Linked DNA regions of Drosophila melanogaster. The protein of the gene in region 4 interacts with the protein of the main gene of each other region in a pairwise test. Each region holds a gene or a part of one and is shown on either strand. Other genes may lie near its edges.

Evidence for each region.
Region 1: the proteins of CG12766 (region 4) and CG13369 interact in a two-hybrid assay, tested with the Drosophila melanogaster proteins (one large-scale study listed by BioGRID).
Region 2: the proteins of CG12766 (region 4) and Ser7 interact in a two-hybrid assay, tested with the Drosophila melanogaster proteins (one large-scale study listed by BioGRID).
Region 3: the proteins of CG12766 (region 4) and CG15611 interact in a two-hybrid assay, tested with the Drosophila melanogaster proteins (one large-scale study listed by BioGRID).

What each region holds. Positions count from the first base shown.
Region 1 is NC_004354.4:621,825-625,305, forward strand, and holds CG13369 (uncharacterized protein), read left to right. Parts: upstream 1-1,643; 5' UTR 1,644-1,857; coding exon 1,858-1,910; intron 1,911-1,971; coding exon 1,972-2,520; intron 2,521-2,582; coding exon 2,583-2,895; 3' UTR 2,896-2,941; downstream 2,942-3,481. Other genes in the region: Vsp37A (vacuolar protein sorting 37A), read left to right, coding at 67-322, 383-534, 610-804; CG13364 (uncharacterized protein), read right to left, coding at 3,072-3,266.
Region 2 is NC_004354.4:9,863,288-9,867,585, forward strand, and holds Ser7 (Ser7), read left to right. Parts: upstream 1-1,945; 5' UTR 1,946-2,049; coding exon 2,050-2,110; intron 2,111-2,171; coding exon 2,172-2,320; intron 2,321-2,684; coding exon 2,685-3,668; 3' UTR 3,669-3,783; downstream 3,784-4,298.
Region 3 is NT_033778.4:17,107,212-17,114,897, reverse strand, and holds CG15611 (uncharacterized protein), read right to left. Parts: upstream 6,055-7,686; 5' UTR 5,906-6,054; coding exon 5,622-5,905; intron 4,956-5,621; coding exon 4,824-4,955; intron 4,732-4,823; coding exon 4,398-4,731; intron 1,581-4,397; coding exon 1,494-1,580; intron 1,431-1,493; coding exon 1,326-1,430; intron 1,270-1,325; coding exon 1,138-1,269; intron 1,074-1,137; coding exon 621-1,073; 3' UTR 538-620; downstream 1-537.
Region 4 is NT_037436.4:3,938,119-3,942,109, reverse strand, and holds CG12766 (uncharacterized protein), read left to right. Parts: upstream 1-1,984; 5' UTR 1,985-2,025; coding exon 2,026-2,103; intron 2,104-2,222; coding exon 2,223-2,390; intron 2,391-2,458; coding exon 2,459-2,631; intron 2,632-2,750; coding exon 2,751-2,895; intron 2,896-2,953; coding exon 2,954-3,151; intron 3,152-3,214; coding exon 3,215-3,415; 3' UTR 3,416-3,486; downstream 3,487-3,991. Other genes in the region: CG10863 (uncharacterized protein), read left to right, coding at 1-7, 74-246, 340-484, 541-738, 806-997.

The DNA.
Region 1 (3,481 bases), on a different chromosome or scaffold from region 4:
TTCTAAATTTAAAATAGATCTAACGCAGACACATTGACATTCGAAAATTGGGATTGAAAACTCAAGATGCCGACTACACCACAGGATCTTGCCCTTGCCCACTCTCTTGCTCAAAGACCTCCGACCGATAGCAGTGAGGCCAAGGAGCAGGAGGCCGGCGAATCGGACAACCTGCCCAACCTGTGCACTTTGTCGCTGGACGAACTGAAACAGCTGGACAGGGATCCCGAGTTCTTCGAGGACTTCATCGAGGAGATGTCCGTGGTGCAGTACCTGAACGAGGAGCTCGATTCAATGATGGACCAGGTGGAGATTATATCAAGTGAGTAGGTCACGGCCCGAGGCTGGCAAATCTACCTAACCCTTCTGTATTCCAATCCAGGAGAGAACGAGTGCAAGGGCATTCATCTGGTAGAGCTGAAGCGCCGACTCAGCGACGATTTTACAGCTTTAAAAAACCTAGGCGAGAAATGCGACCGGCTGAACAAGAAGTACTTCAAGAAGTCGGATGAATACGCGCCTCAGCATATCAGGGTGAGTTCCCTTAAAAAGCCAATGGCGTGGGAGTTACCATTCCCATCCGTAACTTGCATTCCATTTCCCCTGAAGGAGCTTCTTCAGATTGCAGCTTCCAATGCCGATGGCGACTGCGATCGTCACGTGGAGCACTTCCTGAACGGAAAGACCGACGTGCAGACTTTCCTCAACACGTACCAGTGGTCGAAGAAGATCAGTACCGAGCGCAAGGCCAAAGAGGAGCGCCTGGGCACCCAGCTCAGTGCTCTGGAGCGGGCCGGTATCTAGGATTGCCGTGACACTCCCTGGCCGTGCCATCCAGAGCACGGTCCTCCCACTCCTCGCACTCCTCCCACACCGCCACGATCCGCGTCGCAATAGTAGAGAATATCAATGTTAGTAAATAGAGAAGTTAAGCCAGAGATGGGGCGACATAATCATGGCACACACGGCCACGCATTCCCAGAACAGAAAGCAAAACCTTGTTGAAGTAATAAGAAGGTGCACTAGTTGTTCGTTTCCCAAGATCGTTTACTTGGGAAGAGGGTCTTGTTATTCTATCCGTACCCCGAAACGAAGCACTATGTGCAACAGAACGCAGTCCGGAATCGCATGTATTACCTATTTACTTTTTTTCCTTTTGGTTAATCGTGAGCCCCATCCATATATTCTCTCCATATATACATATATATTAAAAAAAAACTATGCTTTAAATGATGCCGTCTCTTTCTATTTAAGGGAAAGGTTTTTCAAAACAATGGTTTTTGGAATGATTTTTGTTTTGATTTGAATAAAATCGAACCGCAAAGGATAACACAACCTTATTAGTTTGAAATAATTTTATTATATTGAAGAATAATAATGCTTAATAACAGATATATAAAATTTCTTTTTTCAACAGTGGCTTGTGCTAGTATCTTAATTTAGTTTGCATAAGCTAAAAGCAATTAAACAAACATAACTACGTTTTCTCCATTATTATTCATATGTACATATATTACTAAGCATTCCAATTGTTAAAATCGAAAACAATCGAAAGTTTCGTTCTACATCATTCGTTCGAAATATGAATGATCCGGTTATCATGGTATTTTTTTGGTATTTTAGCTATATAGTTCGCCGATTTATCGGCCGTACCTCTTCCCCGATCTCGGCCAGAAGCGGACTGGGCCAGTTGGCTGATAGTGCTCGTTCGGCTGCCCCGCTGTCGCCCTTCCCCTCCTCCACCGAGGTCAAGTAATCTCGAGTGATAAGCGGCAGTGAACTCTCGTCTCTGCTTCTCCATTCCACAAGAAACTATAAATAACAGACTACCCACAAGAGACTAGTGCAATTGCAGCAATGGCCCAAACGGAAGTGCTGGTGTTCGGCTCGGCCATCATTGACTTTATAAGGTAGGTGGGCAGAGAAGGCTCGATCCCAAGGAGAATCTTACAAATACAACACCTTTTCCAGCTACACGACCCGTCTACCGAAAGCCGGAGAAACGCTCCATGGGCATCGCTTTCAGATTGGCTACGGCGGCAAGGGCGCCAATCAGTGTGTGGCTGCCGCGCGCCAGGGATCCCGAACAGCTCTGGTGGCCAAACTGGGGGCAGACACATTCGGCAGCGACTACCTGAGACATCTGCGCGAGGAGCGCGTCAATGTAAACCACGTCGAGCAGCTGGCGGAGGAAACGACGGGCGTGGCCCAGATAGCCGTGTCAGATGGCGGCGAGAACAACATCATCATTGTGGTGGGCGCCAACAATCGACTGAGCTCGTGTGACGTTTCCTCGGCGAAGGCGCTCTTCCAGGAAGCCAAAGTTCTGGTGTGCCAGCTGGAGACGCCCGTTGAGGCCACCCTGACCGCTCTGAGAGCCTTCCGGGGCGTGTCCATCGTCAATGCGGCTCCGGCCATGGCCGACACACCCCCCGAACTTCTTCAGTTGGCCAGCATCTTCTGTGTGAACGAAAGCGAGGCGGCACTGATGACTCAGATGCCCGACATTGGCAACATAGAGTAAGTGCGAGTAAGCGTAAACCAGTCGTACTGCCAACTAAATCGGGTCCCACTTCTGCCAGGCACGCCGAAGATGCGGTTGGAAAGCTGATAGCGGCAGGTGCCAACACGGTGATCATAACTCTGGGCAAACTAGGAGCCGTTTTCGGTTCCGCCGACTCCAAGGGCGTGTGCCAGCATGTGGCTGCGCCGAGTGTGCCGCCCGAAAAAGTGGTGGACACGACGGGGGCTGGAGACGCCTTCATTGGGGCCTTGGCCCACAACTTGGCCCGTCATCCAACGAGGAAACTGGAGGAGCACATAGCCGCCGCCTGTGCCGTGGCCTCGCAATCCGTTCAGCTACCCGGGACGCAGTCGAGCTTCCCACACGCTTAGAGGGAAATCCCCAAAAGAATGCAACGCAACAATAAATCTCTATCCTGACGTACAATGATCTATTTAATGGTAATCGTAAGTATAAAAAGATTATGGTCCACATGGGTGTGCTTCGGCTGGCAATTCAGCGTCCAGAATCCAGTGGGTTGCGGACTACAGATGGAGGCGTGGCAGCTTCACTTCTTTCCCGACTTCTTGATGCCGCCTCCTACGAGAGGACCCTTCTTTGAGGCGTTCGCCTTGGCCGCCTCCAGAGCCTTCTGCTGCTCCTTCTGCTTTTGCTTGAAGGCCATGTCGTCCTCGTCCAGGTCTTTGGAGTCCTTCTTCGGCGCCTTCAGAGGCTTCTTCTTACCGCCCTCGCGTCCAGACATACTTGCTCGCTTATACTGCGTGGGAGGAAAAATCTATGAAAATCGGGTTGGATTCCACAACAAAAAGTCACGCACCTTTTTCACACGTTTTTCCGATTTCCGCTGCACGATAACCACGAGAACAATCGATAGCTTCGCGCTTTCGATTGGCTGTGCGTGTTATCGGAACTGGACATATATTTCAATTAATTGATGAAATTATAAGAACAAATTTA
Region 2 (4,298 bases), on a different chromosome or scaffold from region 4:
GCTTTTGGCCATTTCAAGTCGGTGACATTGCAACAGATACTTCTGCTCTGCCTCAAGTTTGGCTTCCTGCCACCCAAGCGCCATGCCAGCCACGCCCACCCGCATCGCACGTAATGCCCAAATGGAGCCAAGCCCGCCCACTTTTAAGTCACAGCTCTGGACAAAGTTTTGCGTGCTGTGAAAAAATAATAATAAAGGACGAGCAGGACTACAAAACAGTTCGCAGGAAAGAAAAGCCAAGTCACAGGACAGACGCATCTCGGTGGGCAGGAAAACTTCCGTTTCGAGTTGTGGCCTGGAAATTGGTAACTGCAATCAAGTGGAAGGATCCAATGGAATACGGTCGTGGGTTCCGAAAGCCGGCCAATAAATATGAAATTAATCTGGCTGTGTATTAGCAGGAAATAGCATGCAAACGTGAATTGAAAAAGGATGAAAAATGTGTCGTTACTTTCAGGGCAATTTGTACATTTTAGGGCTCATTAGAATGTGCTTTATATTTCTTTTCTTTTTTTTGTATATTGGTAAATATTTTGCTGACTTTTAAAGAGGTAGCACAAGTGGCGTATCCCCGAAGTATTTAAAATTATTGTTGCTGTTGACCATGCAGCTGCAACATTTCAAATTTCGTATCCTGCGTGCGGACATATCGCCCCGGTTTTCCCCATTTTCCCAGACAGATTTTCATAGCTGGCACAGTTTGAGCCTTGACTATTTTGCATTTATGCAAAAGGCAGCAGACAAAAAGAAGATTCTAATAGAGCACAGCGTGCTGTGGACCAAGAAGAAGCAGAATAGCCGAAGGAGAAGGCGCCATCTGCCACGCCCACTGGGCAAAAAGTTGCAACTTTGGTGCTGCGTGCGGTTTTTGCTGTGACATTTTCGTAGATTTCGCTGTGAGTCTGCGGGGGAAAAGTGCAGAGGATGGAAAGTGGAAAATAGTCCAGAATTGTACGTGAAATAAATTTTAGCGAATTTATTTTGACTGAACGCAGTAATATTCGTTCTTGGCTAAAAGCGAAAGTCGAATTAATAGTAAAGCTGACTCTTAAACCTAAAAACCGCAGCATTATCTTTAAATGGTAAGTGCATTGATTCGTCTGGGTTTTGCATCCAATCCGGGTTTTCTCCAGAAGTCTCCTGCGGTAAGATGCCGTCTTGGGAAAACCAGAATAAGAGATTCCCAGGCAGCTATCACTAATTCATGATCACCAATTAATCTATTCGGAACAGTTATCAAACCTGATTTAGCAGCCAATATATTTAGTCTATAATTCAATAAATCAATATGCATTTAAATATGATTTTTCTTTTTTCCTTTGTTTTTCATTAAACCTCATATGTTTGCACAGCAAGAGAAATAGAATTTATCAAAGAAACTATGCAAAAATATTTATTTGCTATGTATATGCAATTACAATTAAATAATTAAAGCAAGTGTATAAACAAATCAATAGCACCAATGCAAAGACATTCTTCTTTTCATCTCGATCTTGAAATATTTATATTTAGGTATTTTCATTAAACCGTCTTATCAGCTACTGTACTGCACTTTTTTTTTTTTAATAAACACAAAGAGAATCGGTCATTTTGCAATTACAAATACGAATGCTCACACTTCCCTTCGTTACGACCTGATAACTGAAAAAAGAAAAATGTGCAACGAAAAGCAGTGGATTTTTGCGGTGCGAATTAAATGGCACACGTATGAGAATATAATTACGAGTATATTATTAAATTTATTGAGCGACTGGAAGCGCGATTGGAAGGCGGCAACGGGTTTTCCCGCCCAGCCGCAATCAATGAGAATCGATCCGATCGTAGCTAATCAACGCAGCGTCGGCGATGGAAAAGGCAAATCAAAAGCCAATCTCTGAGATTCAAAAAGCTTCCGAGGGTCGCGGCTTGAGGTTGCCGATCGCCAGTAGATCAGTAGTTGATTGCCAGCCACCGGGGACGCAGCTTTGCTAGCGACTCGAGAATCAATCGGAGCGGAAAATAGGAAAATAGAAAATTGATAGGAATTAGAAAATAGGAAAACCTCGCAAAATGCTCCTGCTGATACCGCTTTTCCTGACCCTTTTGGGGGCTGAGGCCCAGCAATTTGGCAGTGAGTTTTACTCAAGACCACCGCTCCTTCGAGATTTCCTAACCCATTTTCAATCCTTTAGAAGCTATCATGCATTTTGGCAACTGCAACTCGGTGGAATTCGGTAGGGGCACCTGTATCGAGAAGAAGGACTGCGACTTTTATGCCGTAGATAAACTTATGGAATTGGCCAGCAAACAACAGTGCTTCTCCCGCCAGCGACCCGATCTGGTAAGTGGTATTATATACTATATATATGTATATATTCGCCCGATGTTCAGCAAACACGTTTCCCACCATCAACCAGTTTTCCACGCTCCGTGGAGATCTTCTTCACCTGAATAATGCTATTTATTAGCATTAACAGCTATTTTAACAGTTTATTTACGTCTTACTTTGCGATTTGTACATAATTGATTGTAATACATTTTTTGATTTAAACGGAAATTAGAGAGCTATTAAAAAAACTAAAACGGCTGATATACCCATAGTAAAACAACCCAATCTTCACTTGAGCTTATAGTTTTTATTTTCCAAAAATGTTTATATATACAATGCACCATAATATATATATATCTTATTTATTTCCCATTAGGTTTGCTGCCCCCGCGAGACGAATATTATACCGCCATTGGCACCCAGGATCAGTAATGGGACCACTAATGCCACGAGCAGCACCACAACGCTGAAACTGCTGCCTCGCACCACGCCACGCCCACCCAGCGGTATCGACCAACTGCCCGAGCATCCGTACTGCGGCTCCGCCTTTTCGTTTCGCTTGGTCGGTGGTCATAATACCGGACTCTTCGAGTTCCCGTGGACCACTCTGCTGGAGTACGAGACAGTGAGCGGTGGCAAGGACTATGCGTGCGGCGCATCCTTTATCGCCCAGAGATGGCTCTTAACGGCCGCCCACTGCATTCACACAATGGGCAGGAATCTCACCGCAGCCATTTTGGGTGAATGGAATCGGGACACCGATCCGGATTGCGAGAATGATTTGAATGGCGTACGCGAATGTGCTCCGCCGCATATCCGGGTGACCATCGATCGAATATTGCCGCATGCGCAGTACTCGGAATTGAACTATAGAAACGATATAGCCCTGCTGCGTTTATCACGTCCGGTGAACTGGCTGCAGATGCAGAATCTGGAGCCCGTCTGTTTGCCACCGCAGAGGGGCAGGTATGCCAATCAGCTGGCCGGCTCAGCCGCCGATGTTTCCGGCTGGGGCAAGACCGAGTCCAGCGGCAGCAGCAAGATCAAGCAAAAGGCGATGCTGCACATCCAGCCGCAGGATCAGTGCCAGGAGGCGTTTTACAAGGACACCAAGATTACGCTCGCCGATAGTCAGATGTGTGCCGGCGGCGAGATTGGCGTTGATTCCTGCAGTGGCGACTCCGGCGGACCACTGACCGTAGAGGCAAACACGGCGAGCGGCAATCGATATGTCTATCTGGCCGGCGTGGTCTCCATTGGACGGAAACACTGTGGCACAGCGTTGTTTTCCGGAATTTACACCCGGGTCAGCAGCTACATGGACTGGATAGAAAGCACCATTCGAGCCAATCGCATTTAAGCGACTCTCGACTTTCGTTTCCGTTTTCGGCTATTTTTGGGCACCCATAACGCAAAGTCAAGCTCATTGTGACCTTCAATGACATTAAAAGCAATTTTTTTGAAATACATACAATATTTATTATATGTTTTTTTTTTTACATGAAGCGCAGTGACTTTTTTTATTTGTGTTTTCAACTAACGAAAAAAATCCCATATTGTTCAAAGCATTCCAAATCCCTTGTACAAATGTGCAGACAGTGTATTTGACGTTCGGGAGCATATGACTTATTGGCAACGGTGCGTATGAAATGCTTAAGCAGCTACCACAGGGGTTTCCCCCAGGAAGGTTTTCCCTCTCTTTTTATTTGTCTCGTTTTGCGGATCGTCATATCACTGACGTCACTGATTTCCGGCGTGCAATTTACTAAACATGTCAACCTATCGCCTACAATCTCGATTTGGGTCTAGATTAAACTGTTTGCCCATGACACGGAAACGCTTAAAATGATGATGATGTTGGTGATGTACGCCCAGTAACTGCAGATTGCTCTGATTTTTAGCGAAAATATACTGGTGACATATGAAGTGTACTTTGAAAGCGGTCGGATTTTCTTTTACAACCAACTATTACTAATTTAAACTGAATGTG
Region 3 (7,686 bases), on a different chromosome or scaffold from region 4:
TCACATAACTAAAACAGAATCTCTTAAAAGGTTTGTTAGCTAAGCTTAGGATAAACACATTAACCGGTTTTAGGTTTTGGCTAAAAATGAATATGTTAAATCGGATTTTAAATCTTGTTTCGACCTTTTGCATGCTGATGCCAAACAAACTAGCTTTTAACACACTCCCAGAAGCCATCAGCATCTTGAGCAGTTCATATTCACATCCTTGGATGCGGTTCATTAGATTTCCGTACGCCGTGACTTGGCTTCTTTTTGGGTGGCTTCCTGCATTGGGCCATCATAAATTCTAAATAAAAAGATTTGTCATAAATTTTTCGGTGGCTGTCACACACACACACACACTGCACGGGAATTGGGATTGCCTTGTGTGTGCCGGCCAAAGGAGATGAAGAGCTATTTACATTTTGCAGCAAGGACAACGACAAGACGGGACTTGGCCACTGCAAAGGCAATTTATCATGAATATTTGTCAGGCGACTGCAGCAAGCTTATTTTACGCTTGGACAAACAGCGAGGACGACACAGAACAGGACTACGAAATAACTTAGCTTTATTCTTAGATATCTACGATCTAGATGGGCATGTGGACATGGTTGTTGCATTGAGGTGGGAACTATTTACAAGTACTGCCAGATCAGCCAGATGGCCAGCACCACGCCGAGGACCAGGTCCATGGGCAGGCTAAAGGTGTTCCGCCTGGCGTGCTCATTGCGTGCGATCTCGATGATCTTGTGGGTGGCCTGGAGCCACTGCTTCACCACCGACGCCTCCGCAGCCATAAAGGAGTACTCCTCCCGCTTGGAGCCGACACTAGATCCGCCCTCCTCCTGTTTCACTAGCAGGTTAATGATCTTGTTGGCATTGGACGAGACCGAGTCCAGTGGCCTCTGCAGCTCCACGTGCTCCCAGTTGTAGTGCTGCCGGTAGGCCAGCCGCTTCTTTCGCACCTCCGTGCACACCAAACAGCGATCGAACAGGAACACCTTGGAGCGGTACTTTTTCCGGGTGGGAAAGTGCTGGGCGTCGAATTCCGTCGCACGGCGGAAGTTTCCCAGCTGCAGGACGTCCAACTGGGGAAGATGAAAAACTAGAATTAGTGGCCAATTCCATATCCCATAGACGCTCATGACGCACCTCGTTGAGCTCCTCGATGTTGGGTATCTCCTCGGCCTGATTGACCACATCCAGAGCGCGTCGCATGCGCGTCTCGAGTTTGCAAACTGCAGTCAGCACTGGCTTGCAACTAATTCCACTTTTGTAGAATTCCTGAAATCGTTAAGATTAGTTAGTAAAGGAAAGCTATGCAAAATCTAGTCACTTACCGATATGAACTGCTGCAGGAGCAATGGATATCTGGTCAGTCTTTGGATGGGCTGAACTAGGAAGCTGTCGATGCCCAGCTTGTCTTTTATTTGGGTTTGATATGTCTAAAAAGGTATTTGAAATATTAACATTTTAGATTAAGGATAGCGCTTGACTGGGTAACTCACCTGCAACCACAGCCGATTATCCTGTCGCAGTTGCATAGAAGACTTCTTCCCCATAGTGAAGCTCACATAGCAATAGAAGCTATTTTTCTGTAAGGTAATAAACAGCAAACCGTATCATAACCCATCTTAACCTCGTCGAAACTGGGAAAACCTTTGTGTCTGGGCCATGTGCTTTATTCTCGCACTTGGCACATCGTTTGATATATACATATGTGTATATTGTACTATATACACACACATGCCAGTTTGCCTGTTGGCGAAATCATAATTTCTTAAGCATTTAAGTCACGTAACTCCGGACTTGTAGAGCGGGCCAAGTGGTAAGGCCTTGGCAAAGCCAGAGTGAAAATTTGGAATTCCTGTCGCTATCTGTGGCCAATGCCAATGCAAATATTTTCCCAAAAAAAAAAAAACCGAAACTAGTGCAAACTGCAAAGAAAATTGTCTGTCTAACGATTTCCTTTCCATTTTAATTTCATTAGCTCCGCCCGACTGCAGCATCAGAATCAGAGCTCGAAGTTCTGCATTTAGATGATATGATAATCATCTCTCTGCGGACTTATCCATAATATTTCCCTTTCCATTTTGCATGTCTAATGCGATTTAGCTGGACAAATGACTGCCTTAAACAATTGCCGCCTCGTCTGGCGGGCGAAAGGTGACAATATATATATATACACACATATATATTTTTGCATATTGCAAATTTGTCTTTGGTGGGCGTGAATTTTATTAGCATGAAATTGCTAGCTACAGTGCATTCCTCCTAATGTAGTAATTCGGACTGTCTAAAGAAAAATGTGGTTGCTTTTTATATATATCTCACACGCTGTTGTACAATATAAATCAAAACTAGATGTCAGCTATGGTTAATGGTTTTTGGCGCTCATCAAATAGTTAACCATGTAACAGATATAATACCTAACAATAATAGCATAAATCTGTTTTCTTCATGTTGTTCAATGAGTTTGCAAGCAAGAAATTAGTTTTTGAAGTATTTTTATTGTTCTCTTAACACGCAGCTGTATAAATAGAATTTATAGCTACAGCGGCTTCCCCATCAATATAATCTTCTTTTGTTTATTTCGCAGCAAACATCTAAAACAATTTGGATCGCCAAATCGATTGCATCAATCTCAGAATTCCCCAACCCCTTTCCTTCAACCACTCAAAAGCATCCATCCGAATGTGGTAAAACTTTTAATTGATTTTCCGCTGGTGGCTGATTCGATTTGATTGTGAGAAGTCTGATCGACACGCTTGTCACTTGATGTTTTTGGCAATTTAAAGCCGATTAATAAATGAAGGCGACTCTATTTATGGAAACTTCTGTCTTTCGAGACCAAAAACTGATTCCGAATCTCCGGCTGGCCAAGATCTAGCATTCATCAATTCTAGGCCTCTCCAGGCTAGAACTAATCGATTTGGCAATTGCTTGTGAAAAGCCTCATTAATTTGCAAATGACGACGAGTCAAGAGGAAATTCATAGCACAAGTTTATATTTATCAACGTTTTGGCTTCGCCTCTTTTGTTTATGCAGCATGCTGCCAAATTTGAGCAGGGAAACGTAAAATTTTTAGAAAATATGTATAAACAAATCTTGAGCAGTTTTTATGATATATTTAGCAAAATATTCGCTTGGCTCTGGTCCTGTGAGTCAGATATGTTTGTTTTGGTTTGGCCAAATTAAAAAAAAAATGAATGCAAAGTGGTTGCGGGTAAAAGGAACAAAAAAAGTGCAAACAAGAGCATAAATCACATCCCAGGGGCTTAGCATGTCTGTCGAACATTAAGTTCTTAAGATGCCAAATCCTCGGGGTGCTCAACAAGAATGTTACCTGCTTTTGGATCAGTTAATAAGCTTACTGTAACTCCTTGCTTAATTTATATTCGGGTTTTCTGGGAACTCGGGTATGACATAAGAGAATTGCGACCGAACAAGAATTCCACAATGCCTCAGACAATTTCCATTTCAATTTAAATTGATCATTTGCGTTGTCAACACTCAGCTCAACATGGCCACATGGCCGCTCTCTAGAGGCCCGAAAAATCATTCCGAAATGAGTACTTTTAACGAGATGATTTGGGGATTTCTATAGCTATGTATATCTGAATATGCTGAAACGCCAAGCCCCGGACAGCAATTGTCGACTCTCCTCACCGAGAACCGATGACGTCAGCTGCCGGCAAATGGAACCCCAGCCCAGAAAAAAAAAATACAATATAGAGTCTGTTTGCCCTAACAATTTTCAACTGATTTTCGTAACTGAGTGTGAGCTTTTGTGGCTGTGTGTTGTGTATTTTCGTATTTTATTACGGCGTTCTGCTGATTACTTCAATCTTATCAGGGGACTTTACTAAGCCAACCCATTCGTCATTCTGCAAGTGATCTGGGATATACATTTGTTTTTTCTGTGAAAATCGTTTATTAATTTTGCACGACACACGCACTGGCATATGAATGAATTTGGCGACACAGTTGTCGCGAGGTGTGAGTAGAAATATATTACTAAAAATTAAATTATAATCATCAATTGAGATTCTGGCACAGTTTGCATAACCCACATTGACTTCATTTGCATTAAGACACGAATCACTCGGCGTTCAAATAATAAAAATAATAAAAAAGCTTAACAAAGCAAAAGATAATAAAGAAACGAGACACGAAATGCAGGTGTCAAGTCCGGGCAAAAAATAAATGTTTAAAAAAAGACTTATCCACTTCATTATGTGTAAATATTTGAGGTTGAAATTAGGCACCCCAAGTGCCTACGGAAGACGAAAGAATTTTGATAGATGAGATGTCGGAACCTGTCTAACGGCTACTTGGCTCAACGACACGACTTTGGCTAATGGACCCAGCCCACTCAGCATCCCCTCCACAAACATGCCCCTTAGCTCACCTCGAAGTGAGCAGCAAACTCATCGAATAGACCTTTGAGATCCCGCTGATTGCGCAACATGAGCGGCAGTATCTCCTTCTCATGCAGCTCCAGTATTTCCTTAATGTTTCCCAGCAGCATCTTTTGTTTCGTTTCGCCACTCAGGGCTTCTGGCAAATCCTCGACATCCTTCAGCTGTCCATAGTTTAGCATACCCTTCTTCAGATTGTTCACATAGTTCACCTCCGTCTGGATGAGCTCGTCGATTATGAAGCTGATCTTCTTGGAGGCATAGATCTCGGTTTGATCGCAGGGAAACAGATTTTCCAAGGACAATGTGTCCTCATCCTCGTGGCTGGACAAAGTGGATGGTCATTACTTAGTTGCCAAATCAATTACCAATAAACGGATATTTAGGATGGCTATGACACTCTCAGCTGTACTTACTACTCATCGCCCAGAGTCTCGAAACTGAGCGTGTGCGATGGGAAGGAGTGGAAGCCATTGGGTGCTCGGTATGTTGGGGATGAGTTCGCTGCGGTTGTTGAACAGGTGTTGATGGAACTCAATGAGATGCCGCTGGAAACAGAACAGTAACGAAAACACAAGAACAGCAAGCCGTGAATGAGGAACACTTGAAAATGATGTGGGTATATAAAAGATAAATGTGCACAACATTAATTATATTCCTAAACACGTACTAGAACTTTAAAACTTCCAGATACTAAGCCGCGACCGTTGTTATTTTCTAGTAATACTTTATATAATGTATGCATAGTGATATTAGTTATCAACTTTATTGCAAAAAAATGCAGATCGTTTATAGAACAAGATTAGAGAAAATACACCATTTATCGCTTTAGTGTTCCACTTCCTCTGTAAAATTTCTCATTGCCTGAAATTTCTTTTAACAACTTCCTTCCTGCGCCTAAAACCAAAACCTTAATAATAAAAACACTTTGCTTATCTGAAATCAGTCGCGGGAATTAACTTTTAACATATTTATCATGCATGTCATGAACTCAACCACTCCCGACAGCAATTACCGTGGAAAGGCTTAAAAATAACCGGGGCGTATACGTTATCTTATCACGTATACGCACAGTAAGTGGTGTAAAACAAGCCAAAGGTCGTACATTCAATAATGGACAATAAATTCGATGAAAAAACAGCAAACAGCTGTCAGATGGTGGGACACGTTCAAACAAAACATTAGGTTAGGTAAACAGAGGGTTTTATACCTACCTATCGCTGTCCAGCAGACTTATTTGCTTCTCCAACTTGCCGTTGCTCGATGCCTGGGATTTCGGTAGAGTGGTGGCGATTGGTGAACTGGGTGACTGGGACTCAAGTAACGGGCATTCTTTCGCTGGTGCCTTGTCCACCACATCGATCGATTTGCCATTATCGGCATTATCGTCGAGTATATGCAAGTAAACGTTAAGAATTTGCACTAGAAATATCACAAGAAATGTGAGCACCACCGAGACCACATCGAACAAATTTAATGTGAACAATGACAACTCCATATTGGTTGATTTGGTTTTTTTCACAGCTCACTATAGACTAAACCACCGCCGAATTCGACGCATATCGATGGCAAAACGTGTACTATATATGGCCAGTAACAGTATTACGATACCGATCCGTAGCGAATCAAACGCGAAACTCGACTGAGCTAAAATTCCGCTGAGTATTTGCAAAGACTGAAAAAGCTTCAGCTTCAAAAGCTCATGACGATCGTTCTCTTTTTTTTGTGCCGAATGCTCTTCAATACAAAAAAAGCTAAATCTGACCACGCGTCGAGCATTTTGTTTGTAAACATGAAAAACAATTTGAAACCATTCCGATGTCTGGCATTGGATTAGAATTCAACAAAGTCCGTAACACTTTTGCTTTCATCGTGGCAATAATTCCGTTGGATCGTTTATGATTTCATATTTGCATATCAATTAGGCCACGAAGGCTTTGGCTAATGGCCGGGCAATAACTGTTATTATGGCCACTACCACCTATAATCAGCGATTTCGATATCGCCTTGAACTTTCGGGTGCATTGAAACTGGTTACCTATTGTTTCGTTTTATCGGTTTTCGGCACTCTGCGAATGGAGTTATAAATCAGAAATCAGAATAGTTATACGCCAGAACGTAAATTATTTTCCTACCCATTAAACGTTTAAGAGTGCAAATAATGATGATCTCATACAGATCATCGGGAAAACGATAATTGTCATTTGTATTTGTGAATTTCACCAGTTAAATTGTTCACATTTTATTGTTTATACAATTGATTTTGCTGGACAGACTGTATCAAAAGAATTCCCTGATGAGGCAACACAAAAAAATAAGAATTATAAATAAACACCGAGCACTTCTGGGCGCGATTGATGAGCTGCAAGTGGAATGATGAGCATGGGGATCTGATCGGGGGACCCAGCAGGCAATTATTGTTTGCCTATATTTATTTATATGCGCCATTTGTATTTTTTTATACATTTTCTTAGTGATGTCACAGGCGGGCGCAAGTGCCACTCAGAAACAAGTTGTTTCGCTGTTTTGAGTATTGCGTGTCGTATCATTAACAATATTAAGAGTGATGAGGTGGTTTGCATGAATTGTATGGATCGTTGGGTGGCTGTAGATCGGAGATCGCGGGGACTTGGGGCAGCGAATCCGTAACAGCTGCCCCACGTCTGCTTCTCATGACAACGCCGATGGCGTGCGACCTTTCCATGATAGATTCATTTGTTTTGACGTCTGTGAAGCGTGTGATTTCGCTAGCGGAAAGTGGAAGGAAGTGACGGTTATTCCTAAAATATGGTACACAAATATTTCCTTAATTAAGAGCAGTGGGAAATCGTGATAAAAATAATAACCGAATCACTGGTTTCATTGTATCGCATGTGTATTGGTTTTTAATGTGCTGTTTGATTATTTAAGTATCTTCCCAATTTTAAAAAAGATATCGGTGATTTTTTGAACTTTCCATATTATTTAACCTTTTATTTTTTAATCCATATCTACGAATAACAAAAATTGCTTATCCAGCTAGGCACAAGTAAACGTTCAACGCGTTGCGCTTTTTGACAACAATAATACAGGAATATATACAACTTAATTAACAAGTTACACTTATAATTCAATATTTGGTTACTTAGCATTCAAAGCGAAAGGCGTTCGACTCCCGATCTCCTTGTGCCACAAACAATGAGCAGCAATTTGAAACAATTTCGAATATTGACTTGGCTCAATGGCCCCCGACAATTGGCCGCCACTGGCAGCTCCAGATGTAATTGGACTGGATTCCTT
Region 4 (3,991 bases):
CACCAAGGTGAGTTCTGTGATTAGTCAATTATGAAATGCCCAACATCCTGAAATGGAAATCTATACTCCCCAGTTATGGTGCCACTTCCATGAGCCGAAGAGGGTGGAATATGCGTGCCGCAAGACTCTGCAGAACTTTGGTCTGCAGTACGTGGATCTCTACCTGATGCACTGGCCCTACTCCTACGTCTACCGCGGCGACAACGAGATGATGCCCACCGATGCCAAGGGGGAGGTGGAACTCAAGTGAGTTTTTAATTTAGTCAATTACTTTTCTAATGCGGGTGTGCTTCGTTTGTATTTGCTTGACTCTTAATGACCAAATTTGTGCTATTACAGCGATATCGATTACCTAGACACCTGGCGCGAAATGGAGAAGCTCGTGGAACTGGGCCTGACCAAGAGCATCGGCGTATCCAATTTCAACTCGGAACAGTTGACTCGCTTGCTGGCCAACTGCAAGATCAAGCCAATCCACAATCAGGTGCGTCAATTGTGGTTATGCCTTGGGTTTCATATTCCTAATAGACCATTTTCCAGATCGAATGTCATCCCGCGTTGAACCAGAAGAAATTGATTGCTCTGTGCAAGAAGAATGACATTGTAGTGACCGCCTACTGTCCCCTGGGCAGACCCAATCCAGCAGAAAAGACGCCCAACTACATCTATGATGCCAAGGTGCAGGCAATTGGAGACAAGTACAAGAAGTCCACCGCCCAAGTGGTGCTCCGATATCTGGTAGGGATTACGAACTAGGTTTAATGAGAACAAAAACTCTTTATTAACATAATGTTTATCGAAATAGATTGAGATTGGAACCATCCCATTGCCAAAGTCCTCAAATCCCAAGCGCATCGAGGAGAACTTCCAGATCTTCGACTTCCAGCTGGATGCTGAGGATCATGCCATTCTGGATTCCTACAACACCGGAGAACGTCTGATTCCCATGACCCACGCCATCAAAAGCAAGAACTATCCATTTAACATCGAGTTTTGAGCTGGAAAGCAGGAGCAATGTTTGATATTAATTAAAGTGGTTGTTAAATCTGATATTTTGTGTACATATACATATGTTTTTTAAAAATAAACACCAATAATAATTATTTTTGAGATCTTTTTTCATGTTGAAATATTTATGTTTATTTTGGAGATTTTTATATAACAAGCACACTTATTTTTTTTTTTTTACATAATATCGCATTAGTTTTACTTTTAAGCATTTTGATAGTACGTAATTCTTCTATTTTAGTCTTATCACTTGAACTGTTTCTTATTTGCAGTCAAGGGTGTGGCAAATATTTTAAAGGGGCATAAAATATAATAAACATTTGAAGTCATCTATGAAAACAATACGAATTCATTTTGTGATTATATACATATAATCTTAATTAAACAATACCCTTTTTTGGACACCACTGCTGAACATTTAATGATTTGAGAGAGAGCTTTTGCTCGATCATTTAGTTTTTAGTGTGGGCTTGGCATGGAAAATTCCACTTAATCAAAATCATTTGGTCTAGTACAATTTCGCCAACACTTGTCTGAATTCAATTATTCACAACTGCAAGGCAGATTGCAAAAATGAAAAGCTATAAAAGGGAAGAGAATATAAACAAACCCACATGTAATAGGTAAATAAACAAAACTAGCGATAAAGTTAACCGAATCAGCTTTGCGCGCCACTCAACTATCAAGCTATCGATAAGTGTTTTTCAAAAGTGTTCCCACATATTTTTAAATGGGATTTTACACATGATTTGGTTTGGATCATTTATAAAAAATATGTGTTTAATTTATCCTTATTAAAACATTAAAATAATGCATTTAATATATTGGTTAGCACACTTAGAACCTACGCTCCTTGCGTCTCTATAAACTATTTCCAAGTTTCTCTGCCAGCTTGGCCGTGTTTTATCTGCAAATGCAAAAGGTCTTTTGAAGGTTCTATGGGCCCATTCGAAAACCTTATAACAGAGGTGAAGCGAGCAACCCAAGCATTCAGTGTTCAACTTTGTAACCGCGAAGATGACCGGGAAAGTGGAGTACTACTTCAAGCACAACGACGGAACCCATATCCAGGGAATCGGACTGGGCACCTTCGCGGTATGACATTGACTGGTTGATCATAGCATATCCGATACGGATCAGGAATGTCGCCTATCAGTAGCCGGGTTAACGTCATTTGAAGAACCGCTAACGTTATTGATGACTTGTGATTTCAGTCGACGGAAGGCGATTGCGAACGGGCAGTTCTCCACGCGATTGATGTGGGCTACCGGCACATAGACACCGCCTACTTCTACGGAAATGAGGCCGAAGTGGGTGCGGCGGTTCGGAAGAAGATTGCCGAAGGCGTCATCAAGCGGGAGGACATATTCATCACCACCAAGGTCAGTTGGCAAGTTCTTATAGCAGGCATATCATAAACTAATCCTTAAGTGGCCACATATTTCCGCAGCTCTGGTGCAATTTCCATGAACCGGAAAGGGTGGAGTATGCCTGCCGAAAGACCTTGAAGAATATTGGCCTGGATTATGTTGACCTCTATCTGATTCACTGGCCTTTCTCCTATAAATATCGCGGTGATAACGAACTGATTCCCAAAGATGCCAATGGAGAGGTGGAACTTGTGTGAGTAAAATGAATAATATATGAAATATTTCGAATCGATTGGCACTTACAAGTGATTGTGAAATGCGCCTTCTATTATCAGTAATCTTACTATGCCGTTTACTTGCTTCAAACTACAGAGACATTGATTACCTGGACACTTGGGGCGCCATGGAGAAGTTGGTTGACCTGGGCCTGACCAAGAGCATCGGAGTGTCCAATTTCAACGAGGAGCAACTGACGCGCCTGTTGGCCAACTGCAAGATCAAGCCAATCCACAATCAAGTAACTTAGTCACAGGATGTTCCCTCCAGTTTCTCAACTCATATTGTTCTTTCTGCAGATTGAGGTACACCCCGCGTTGGATCAGAAGAAACTGATTGCCCTGTGCAAGAAGAATGGAATCCTGGTGACCGCCTTCAGTCCACTGGGCAGGCACAATGCCGAGTTGAGGACGCCCACCTTTATGTACGATGGCAAGGTTCAGGCCATCGCAGACAAGTACAATAAGTCCATTGCCCAAGTGGTGATCCGATATGTGGTAAGGATTTTCGATTTAGGCCTTATGTTGAACCGGATTTCTCATGATGAATTCTAATTTCAGATTGAGCTGGGAACCATCCCGCTGCCCAAGTCCTCCAATCCCAAGCGCATTGAGGAGAACTTCAATGTCTTCGATTTCAAGCTGGATGCTGAAGATCATGCCATCTTGGACTCGTATCACAATGGAGAACGTGTTGCCCATGCCCGACAAGCCATCAAGAGTAAATACTATCCCTTCAACGTGTATAGTGCTTGTTTTTGATACAACAAATATATTTAAGTTATTATGATTAATAAATAAATAGTAACCCTTGTAAGGGAATGCCCAAAAGCAAGAAGATTTCTAACGTCATTTACAATCGGTAAGTATTTTTCGTAAGTGTTTTGTATATGTCTTTTTTGGCCTTATCATCACAAGTACTTCCCATTGATATTCACATGGATTGGTTAATAAATCAAACAGCGCGGCACTTTTTTGTTCCAGTCATTCAGTTTTTTCTTAGAGAATGTATATATTTCTTAATGCAAAAATTTAAAAACTGATATACTTTTACAACAAAAGTGAAAACTTTTATTTTTGATTGTATTTAAATCGAAGTTGTACCCGTATCATAATGCACAATAGAACAGATAATAGAAAATAGGGTAGCGGATCCATTATGAAAGTCAAGTTCTCGATAAGAAAAATATAAGAAGTCGATTGTTTTACCCAGCTAGCTGTGAAAATAGGAAATAATATGTTTGTATTAAAATCTACCAATGTAAATAACATTAAAAGCTTTTTCTCTGCTGCATTTAAAATAAAATTGAAATGATCAATGTCATGAATAGAAAAATG